3 linked regions of the Saccharomyces cerevisiae S288C genome follow. Changing the gene in region 1 together with any one later gene gives a genetic interaction. Each region holds a gene or a part of one and is shown on either strand. Other genes may lie near its edges. The genes, in order: SLK19, CTF8 and LTE1.

Region 1 (3,762 bases):
TGGTTCTATTGAAATGAAAAAACGTTATGTTAAGAAAAATTGCCAAGCAAAATTTGTTTTTAACACGCTTGAAGGTAAAGAAGTTTGTTCGAAAATACTACAACATACCCTAGGCCTATTAAGTTTATTGCTATTGACGAGAAAGATACGACTACTAAATTTTTCCTCAAAACTGCGATTGGTGATTCAACAATTGAGTTTATTTCGGTACTATTTGAGATTCGGAAACTTTGCGATCAATTTATATAAAATTATCAAAAGATTTCGCTGGTTGAGAGAAATGAAAAAACTACATTATAAAGATCAATCAATTTTATTTTATTTTAAAAATTTCCGGTTTTTCGACATTATTGAAGCTTTTTATAATTTGACAGATGAGTTGATACTGTTCCATAAGCTACAATCAATGTTTGGTAAAAAGAACACATCACATGCAAATACTAATAGACTAATGACATTCGTCAAAGAACAGCACTATATCTTATGGGAAGTTTTAAATATTCTTGCTATCAATAAAAACATTGAACAATGGCGACAGCTAATAAGAGATGAAATTTATTTAAGTATCTATAATACCAGTGGTAATGCAATAAAGGAATACGAGTTAAAGTACAAACTACCTACCAATGACAAAGTCAATTTGGAGTTACGGAAAAATAATATTACATTGGATTTTTATAAGATAATACTAAACTTATTGTCTAATCTAATTAATATTAAAGGTAAAAGGGACAAATATAACTCAGAGCTAGCTTACGAAATAATTTCAGTAGGTTCCGGTGTTACTGAACTCCTTAAGCTATGGAACCGAGCCAAAGTCACTTCGGCTAATGAACATACAAGCGCTGTTTGACAACAGATGACCAAGTTCGTTGCATCCCTCTTTATTTCGTTTTTTTAGTTTGATATTATAGTACTTGTATATATACATTTTTTCTTCTTTACGTCTAAAGATTTAGTTATACCCACTCCGCTTCCACTTGAGCTTTTTGGAATGTGTAGTCATTTCTATTGATGGTCACCACACCATCTTTCAGACTACATTTCCATCTCGCCTTTGTTCTTGTGACTTTATCATATAAGCACAGCATTAAGTTCTCATCTGGCCCATCCTCTTCACCCTCCGAAATTAGATAGTCATCGTCGGAATCATCTAGTTCTGAACCGACCTCATCCGTATCTAATAATGCACTTCTTTTTTCCTTCTTCGCTTGTAATTTTACTTGTTCTATCTGCTCCTTTTCCTTGCGGGTTTTTTCCACGTCCTCCTCCTTTTCCTCGTCGTCTTTCTTCTCACTTTCATCATCTATGTTTTCGACGGTAGTTATATTGGCATTATTAATAGTAAGTTCTATTTCCGGTTTTACTTCAATTTTAGGCTGGCTAGTTACGTCCGCATTTGTATTACCACTAGTATTTGTGTTCAAGGTAGCACCTGAATTATTAGTTGCTTCTACCGTATTCGTATTAATATTGGTCTCTCCAGAGTGCGGTATGTTGTTGTTGGAATTGATATTTGGCAAAATTAGACCTTCATTACCGGTATTCTCCTCCTTAATATTGAACTCGCTAGAATTTACGCCGGGGGTAGCAAGATTGAAATTTAAGTCGTTCTGTACACCATTGATATTTCCTTCATTGAACTGATTGTCCCATGAAAAAGTAGTTACCTTCGTCTCTGTGAGCTTTTTTTGCCAAATATTTTTTAGGTCTTGTAAAGTTTGTTCATCGATACCCGCATTTTCAAAGTCCTCTCTTACTTCATTTACCACAGACTCTACGATAATCTCGTACACTCTGCTGGCCTCTGCATTCGACATGATATCCAACGATGTCCCTTGTGTATGGCCTTGATTTGTGTGATACTATCGCTTTTCTTCTTTGAGCTTGCCCCCGATAATATGCCGTATGGCTTTATCCACCTTGTTATTTGGCTTCTTCATCTTTTCTTCAACTGTCTCACATCATACTTGACGAAGCTTTTTTTCGCGTTAATTTATATTCTTTATTTATTTATTTATAATTCAGAGTGTACGATGAGTTCCTCTTTAATGGTTCATTTGAAGGACACTAACTAAAAAGAGCATCATTGGTGTCAAGGGGCACCCAGTTAAAAAAGGTTTTGAGCACATATCGTAATTCATGAACGAAGTTCCTACCACTCCAGTTAGGCTTATTTTAGGGCAAGCTCAGCAACGCGAGCAGAATTCAGAAAACTGTTCGCAAGAACGTAACCCACGCACGTTTAATTCCGAACCGGATTCCAGCTTTAACTCTCCTGGTTCCTCCCAGTTCGTGATACATCCTCATGAACCGCTCGAGAAGGAGAAAGATGAGAAGCAGGATTTAGACCGCTCGATTGATTACGGTAGGTCATCAGCTCTTAACAACAAGAATAATGCCAATCCATTAGAGAATATAGACATAAATAAAATGTTTGATGACAAAAAATCAGATTCAGGTACCAATGATGATAAAGGAGGCGCAAGTACTAGTGATAAGCATGTCCTTGCATTGAATTATTCACCGATCAGAGTTGAAATGAACTCCTCAGAGAAACGAAGCGACAAAAACGTGGACGTAGATGAAAATGATAAAGAAGGTAGCCATATTAATAAAAAATTGAAATTGCAGTTAGAATCAGTACCTGATTTGAAACAAAGCTCTACTAAAGATATCATTAATGACAAAGAAGAAATTATGTCGTCTCCAATGGCGATTGATATGATTGAGACCAACATAAGCCCAAATAAATTCATAATAAACGACGGAGTTGAAAGAAACGATAGTTTCAATATCAATACCGACACACTTAAATTAGAAAATGATATAAATGAGAAACAACAAGAGGAAGACTTCATAAAATCTAACAGTAACAATGTGGTTAATATTGACAATGCTTATAAGGAAAAGGAGGACGAAGAAAATGATATAACAAATTCTCATATAAACAGGCTTACTCCTTTGTATGAGACTTCTGCAAGGGAGTCGAACTCAAATGAAGAGGGGAGGAATGACTACGATGATGACAACCAACTTGATATTAGACATGACAATTTTCAGATTGTAGCAAAAAGAAACGAGGAGCTCACTGATCAGATATATCACTTAAATCAAATGTTAAACTCTTTGATTTCCAAAAATGAATCATTGTCTTTTCAATACGAGAAATTGAACAAAAATCACCAACTACTAATAGATTTGACAAATGAAAAGTTAGATAAACTAAATACAGAAAGAGAGAGCGATATTGCCAAGGTGGAAAAATTCAAAAAGAGGATTAAGGAGTTGAATACAGAAATTAAGGTATTGAATTCCAACCAAAAAATATTACAAGAAAAATTCGATGCCTCAATTACTGAAGTAAATCATATAAAGGGCGAACATGAAAATACTGTCAACACTTTGCAGCAAAATGAGAAAATTTTAAATGATAAAAATGTAGAACTGGAAAATATGAAAGCAGAATTGAAAGGCAATAATGATAAATTATCCGAATATGAGACCACGTTAAATGACTTGAATTCTCGCATTGTGCAACTGAATGATAAGATTGAAAGCACAGATATTGTTTTGAAATCTAAAGAGAACGAACTAGATAATTTAAAATTGAGTTTGAAGGAAACTTTATCGATTTCTAAGGACTTCAACGACTCTGACCTTATAGGACAAATTAATGAGCTAATATCTACAAAAAACAACTTGCAACAAAAAATGGATGATTTGAATAACCTGAACGACGATAATTTGAAGGTAGTACAG
Region 2 (2,808 bases), on another chromosome or scaffold:
ATCTGGTCACAATACGCTCCTCAGTTGAAGGACTTCATGAAACCTGAAAACGAACAACTGGGGTTGGACTGTATAAACCACCTCGTCTTAAACGCATTGAGTCATGTTATCGATGTGTTGACTTATTTGGCCGGTATCCACGAGCAATCCACTTTCCAATTTTGTGCCATTCCCCAAGTTATGGCCATTGCAACCTTGGCTTTGGTATTCAACAACCGTGAAGTGCTACATGGCAATGTAAAGATTCGTAAGGGTACTACCTGCTATTTAATTTTGAAATCAAGGACTTTGCGTGGCTGTGTCGAGATTTTTGACTATTACTTACGTGATATCAAATCTAAATTGGCTGTGCAAGATCCAAATTTCTTAAAATTGAACATTCAAATCTCCAAGATCGAACAGTTTATGGAAGAAATGTACCAGGATAAATTACCTCCTAACGTGAAGCCAAATGAAACTCCAATTTTCTTGAAAGTTAAAGAAAGATCCAGATACGATGATGAATTGGTTCCAACCCAACAAGAAGAAGAGTACAAGTTCAATATGGTTTTATCTATCATCTTGTCCGTTCTTCTTGGGTTTTATTATATATACACTTTACACAGAGCGTGAAGTCTGCGCCAAATAACATAAACAAACAACTCCGAACAATAACTAAGTACTTACATAATAGGTAGAGGCCTATCCTTAAAGATAACCTTATATTTCATTACATCAACTAATTCGACCTTATTATCTTTCGAATTGAAATGCATTATACCCATCGGTACGTCTAGCTTTGTCACCTTCCCCAGTAAACGCTGTTTCTTGCCGACAAACAATGTGGCCCTCTCTCCGTCAATCTGTAACGACCCAAATCGTATTAAAGTTTCGCCGTCCTGTTCACTGAACCTTCCCTCATTTGGAGAATCTCTCCTCGCCAGCGACGCAAAGTCCTTAGGCAACTCTAGTTCACCTTGAATCTCCAGCATCATCATCCCAAGCGGTGTTATCACCGTGGTCTGCTTTTCTCTTGACTGTGTCAACTTCTGCCATTGACTAGCATCTATATCTACACTAGGCATTCTTTTCAGCTGTTTATTGGGCTGAATGATAGTGATAATTCTTTTTTCTATCACTCCTTTGGCTATATTAGTGGTTAGCTTACTAAAAAAGATTAAAGGAAAAATGAAATTCAAGATGCTAACGTTGACATGTATATTTTAAGAAAACAAAAATCATACAAAGAGGAGATCGGATATAAAAGAATAACATAAATATGTTTAGTGCATTAGGTAAATGGGTCCGAGGCTCTCGCAATGATAAGGACTTTGTGACGAAGTATACCGCAGATTTATCACAAATAACTTCACAGATCCATCAATTAGATGTCGCGTTAAAGAAAAGCCAATCCATCTTGAGTCAATGGCAATCAAATCTGACCTTTTATGGTATTGCGTTAACGGTATTGGCCCTGAGCTACACATATTGGGAGTACCATGGTTATCGACCATACCTTGTGGTGACTGCGCTACTATGCATAGGCTCGCTAATCTTGTTCAAATGGGCATTAACCAAACTCTATGCATTTTATAACAACAATAGGTTACGCAAGTTGGCAAAACTCCGTGCAATTCATCAAAAGAAACTGGAAAAGTTAAAGGAAGAGACCCACTATAATGCTACAAGCTCAATCATCCAACGGTTTTCTTCCGGTGAAGATCAAAACGACGATGCCATGGTACTTCTAGATGATGAATTAAATGCTAAATACCAAGAATTAAACAATCTAAAGACAGAGCTAGAAAAATTTAAGAAGGAAAGCCATGTAAAGGGCCTAAAGAAGGAAGACAGCGATGCATGGTTCGACAAAATCATCAGCGTACTGGCAGGCGGTAATGAATTGGACTCAACAAGTTCGCTCTCTCCCTTCAAAAAAATCATATGTCCACAGTGTCATTGGAAATCCAATTGCTACAGATTGGCCAGTAAGCCAATCATCTTTATCTGTCCTCACTGTAACCACAAAATAGACGAAGTAAAGGAAAGAGAAGACGCCATTGAAGCAAAACAACCGGCACAGCCTTCGCAGTCGGAGAAGGAAAAAACAAAATGATTTTGCGTTAGAATAACTACGTACCCCTATATAATATATTTTTATATCATTATTTAGACAAGGACATGATAGCGTTGACTAAGTCACCATTGTGAGCTTTCAGGGCTTTGATGGCTTGGTTTTTGGAAACGTTAGTTTGTTGAACGACTAACTCGATATCATCCTTATTCAAGTCACCGGCATCAACTTCACCTTCTTCGTCATCTTCTTCTGCTGCGGCGTTGACACTGCCTTCTGCGGCGGCTTGCATGTCAGCTTGGATGTCTTCTGGGGACTTGGTAGCGACGTCTTCGTTAGATGGCATAATACCGCTAGCTTGAGCTTGTTGTTGAGCAGCGGCTAGCTTTTGGGTAAAGTTGTCAACCTTAGCTTCACCGAAGACAACGTAGTTACCACCGGCAGATCTGAAGACTTCTGGCTTTTCAATAGCATAGATTTGGTTGTCCTTCTTCCTGAAAGTGACTCTGATGATACCTGGGATTTGCTTCAAACCCAATTTGCCAATCAATTCTCTGGCTTTCTTTTCGTTCTTGTTTAAGACGGTAACGTTGGCGTTTTCTGGGATAGCAGACATTATCAATTGAGTATGTGGGTGTGTGGTTGCTTGTAAGGGTTGCTCCCAGAAGGAGACTTTACCTTAGTTCTTGTTTAAAATAATCCTTTTCATTCAACTTTTTGTCATTTTTTTCTTCGGCGATGAAAAATTTTCAAAA
Region 3 (3,762 bases), on another chromosome or scaffold:
CGTTACAGTATCTCTGGGTGGAGAGCTGGATGACAACTCGGAATCGTATGAGTATGTTATTGATTCTGTGTCTTCCCTACTATCGTTTAAGGGAGACGATTCTTTAAGATCAGGTAGAACATTTTTCAGAGGCGAAGAAGTCATGCTTTTTTGGGATTGGGAATGATTTTTCCTCCTTGGTGTCATATTTGTAATCGCTTCTGAGTTGGTTTTATCAGTTTCATGGAATAACAATCTTTGAGGTCCATTCTCGTCTGTACGTGAAGAACTATTATCTTTATCAAAGAGCCTCATACTTTCTGCTGAGTAGCTACCGTGCATTTTATTGTAATATGCTGTCGTGAGACTTTTTACTTTCCTTCGTTGCAGTGCATCATACGAGGGTGATGGCTGCATATTCGATTCATTGTTCTGCAGTTGCTTGTTTAAAGTATTAGTTAAAGAGATGACTGACTGAGCAATTGAACTTACGGTTTGATACAGATCCAAATTGTCCATAGCGCTAAAATTATCATTACTCGGTTTAAAGCTATTTTGTTGTAAAATCTTTATATCATGTATGTGTTCCCGACGTTCACAATCAACATTAACTGTAGGACCTCGGTTGTTATTCGAATGTGTTTGAACTTTTTCTATCAGCTGGTTTTGTAAATGCAGTAGGGACTCCACTTCATCTATGGTTCTTGCACTTAGGATGTCAAATTTAGAAGAATCAGAGTTAAGAAACTCTTCCTCTTCTTCCTTGGAAGATTTTCTATTGAGAGATGATATTGATACAACGTATTTGACAAACGCATCCATTTCAGGTTTCTGGTTTGCTGGTTTAATAGCACTCATAAATTTTTTATCATTACTGCTATCATGGCGATTATGGTTTTTCATCCACTTAGCTAAAAGACCAATAGCGCTGCGATGTAACACAGACATTGAAGATGTATTAGATCTACTATTACTGTTGCTATTGTTATCTAGAGATGATGTCGTCGATGTACCTTGAAGCGTTCCGCTTTGTTCATTTAAATCTTCAGGAATATATAAGGAATTCAGAATAAATTCAACTTTTTTAGCCGGTGTTGGAGGCATTATTTTATCGACTGCATATGATGACGGGTAGTCTACGCCTTTCATTAGTGTGGATACTAGAGTGACTTTTGACAAGTGGCTGATCTTTTGTTTACTATCTGACATGTCCTCGCTTTCATTATCAACTGAAGGTTCTTTCGCTATTCGGTGCTTCGAGTAAACATTTGATGTATTATCGGGAAATAAAAGCATAGAAGGGCTTCTCTGGTTTTTGGAAGAATTTGAAGACTGTAGCTTCTCCGGCAGTCTAAATACATCAGAAGTTTTATATAATGATAAAACGCTTTGGTTACGAAAATCAGGACTGGCAAAACTTTGCCTGGCGTAAATGCTCAGTCGGCTTCCTCTTTTGTGTAGGCTTTCTAGTTGCGTGAAATCCTTTAACGAATAATGCAGCCATGCATCAAAGTCTAATTTATCAGGTTCATTTAGTTCAATATTCTCCCAAACCAACTTAGAACAATGCACCCAGTTTTTTTTCAGATTGATTATACAGCTGGAAATTATTTTTGGGTACTGTTCAATGTGTTTGTCGTTTAGAAACTCGATCAACCGAAGTCTTAATGTTATGTTCGGTAAAAAATCTTGCACAAAATAATTCAGTATGGAATGCCTCAACAACACAAACGTCCTCACGAGGGCAACTTCACCAATTCGCCTTCTCTTAGCTTTTGCAGCATTTGTTGTGATCTCCCTAATACACCATCGAAATCTATAGATGAGTAAGTCGTGTAAGTCTTGAGGCGTTATAAAATTCCTATAAATAAGGAAAAAATCTGCAGATGCGTTGTAGTCTACACCTTCCAAAGGGGAAGAAAGGTGTACAATTAACGCGGGCAGGTCTGCACTATTCACTGGTTTGGATACACAATCGCTTTCATAGCTAATAACATTTGAGGATGGAGTCGGGTAGTAATCTTTCTGGCTAAATATTTCCATGGTTCAGGGTAGCGAATCTTTGAATGGCTAGAGGCTATGTAAAGCAAACAAAAAGGTTCGCGTAAATCAACGAGCGAATAACACGAGTACGGTTGGGGTGGGCTAAAGGGTTCAAGAAATTATCAGTTTCTGTTTACAGTTTTTTTTTCATTGTTGATAAAAAGATCAAGAATTTCATTATTCGCGAAAATCAAAATGCAGAAAGGAAAAAATAGAAGGGTAATAAAACAGCATCGGATCGCAAAGATGAGTAAGGAGAACAGCCTGGTTAACAATTAAAGAGTGTTTATCGAAATTCATTATATAGTGGTTTATATAGACCACTTCTTCTGCTGGTTGATATAGAAATTTTATTTAATTCTTGTTTTTTACTTATGTACTTACTACGATGATCTTAATTCATGCTTCTTGCTTGTCGGCAATGTCCCAAGTGGAAAACCAGTTTAAGTAGCGGAAGTTACTACTTGGTCCCTCCATACCAAATGATATTGGGGAGAAGTACCAGAAGCAACCAATTACAAGTGCCATGAATCCGGCGTATAGGACGAACCGCATGATACGGCCGCACTTAGATCTGGACCATTTTTGCAAACCGGCGTCGAAACAGTACGCCAAAATGATCAGTGCAAAATACAAGGCAGGCAAGTAATGATGAACGTAGGTGACTCTAGACATGATAACGAATGGCATGTAGTGTAGGCCCCAAGCTAGTAGTGGGTAGAACCCGCCCATTAAGAAAACGTTCCAGTTAGATGGATTTCTTAGGTCCACATATTGTCTTTGCCATCTGATCAGTAAGATAACGACCGTGGCCATGAATGCGAGGACGGCAACACTAGAAGCCCACGTGGAAGCTGGGGTACCCAATAGGAAGTATTTTGGATTATCATCACCCCAGCCACATAGTCTCAAACCCACATTCAAAGTTGGCCATTGCCATGCTGAGGAAGCTAAGTAATCAAATTTGTCTGGATCTGGCACCAAAGCGTTATTAGTGGCCATCATGGCTAGATTTAAATGAATGAAGTCTTTTAAGAAGTTGGTCTTTGGGTATTGAAAATCTTCGGGTCTTGGTGGCAACCTTTCATTTTCGTGGGTCTCGATGTTCCACCAGGTCCTCTTGTCCCTCTTGAATGGGTTTTTCATGCAGACAACCTCTTGTTGTCTGAAACCCCATTCGGGCAAACTGTTACCGGTTTGAGCCAAGTAACAGCCCATCTCCAAGTTCTTGATACGGAAAGAGGTGGTCAATGTGTGCAACTTCTCAGGGTCTTCATCTCCTCTTTGGTCCATGATCTCAATAACCCAATTGTCTTTGTTGTCACCAACAACATTGTCACCGTAACCAGAAACCTCCCATTGTGTCTTTGACACTGGTGCAGCAACTGGGTGGGTGTGCAAGTTTCTGCCCGTGCTTTTGTGTACCAATCTATAGGAGGTACCTGGCTTCAAATACTCGATGTCAGTTTCGTTTTCTGACCATGATGGTAAGCCTCTTTCTCTGTTGAAAAACCATTCGTTGTTAGCATCTTTGTAACCATAACAGGTTACTTGTTGTTGGTTGGACCCATCTGGATAAGTTTGTATATGTGAGTGCAATAGAGATCCTCCAAGAGCTTGGTTTTTGATGGAAACAACGGAGGAACCTAGAGCAATGTCACGGGGGCCTTGTCCGACGTCAGAACCCACTAATCTTGCTTGGAAAAGAGATGGCATGTTAGCATCACCTGTACCAGAATG

Evidence for each region.
Region 2: mutations in SLK19 (region 1) and CTF8 impair growth when combined (synthetic growth defect), as found in Saccharomyces cerevisiae (7 studies listed by BioGRID, with this or other methods).
Region 3: mutations in SLK19 (region 1) and LTE1 are lethal when combined (synthetic lethality), as found in Saccharomyces cerevisiae (8 studies listed by BioGRID, with this or other methods).

Annotation. Positions count from the first base shown.
Region 1 is NC_001147.6:710,724-714,485, forward strand, and holds the start of SLK19 (Slk19p), read left to right. Parts: upstream 1-2,142; coding exon 2,143-3,762. Other genes in the region: PEX27 (Pex27p), read left to right, coding at 1-853; TOA1 (transcription initiation factor IIA large subunit), read right to left, coding at 960-1,820. UniProt on the Saccharomyces cerevisiae protein: Has a role in spindle assembly and stability. Required to ensure a timely exit form mitosis. Essential to maintain pre-anaphase spindle polarity. Associates to the plus ends of the microtubules at the kinetochore and spindle midzone.
Region 2 is NC_001140.6:485,568-488,375, forward strand, and holds CTF8 (Ctf8p), read right to left. Parts: upstream 1,065-2,808; coding exon 663-1,064; downstream 1-662. Other genes in the region: ERG9 (bifunctional farnesyl-diphosphate farnesyltransferase/squalene synthase), read left to right, coding at 1-612; LNP1 (Lnp1p), read left to right, coding at 1,259-2,095; EGD2 (Egd2p), read right to left, coding at 2,145-2,669. UniProt on the Saccharomyces cerevisiae protein: Essential for the fidelity of chromosome transmission. Required for the DNA replication block checkpoint.
Region 3 is NC_001133.9:103,851-107,612, forward strand, and holds the start of LTE1 (mitotic regulator LTE1), read right to left. Parts: upstream 2,023-3,762; coding exon 1-2,022. Other genes in the region: dolichyl-phosphate-mannose-protein mannosyltransferase PMT2, read right to left, coding at 2,422-3,762. UniProt on the Saccharomyces cerevisiae protein: GDP-GTP exchange factor for TEM1, a Ras-like protein, component of the mitotic exit network (MEN).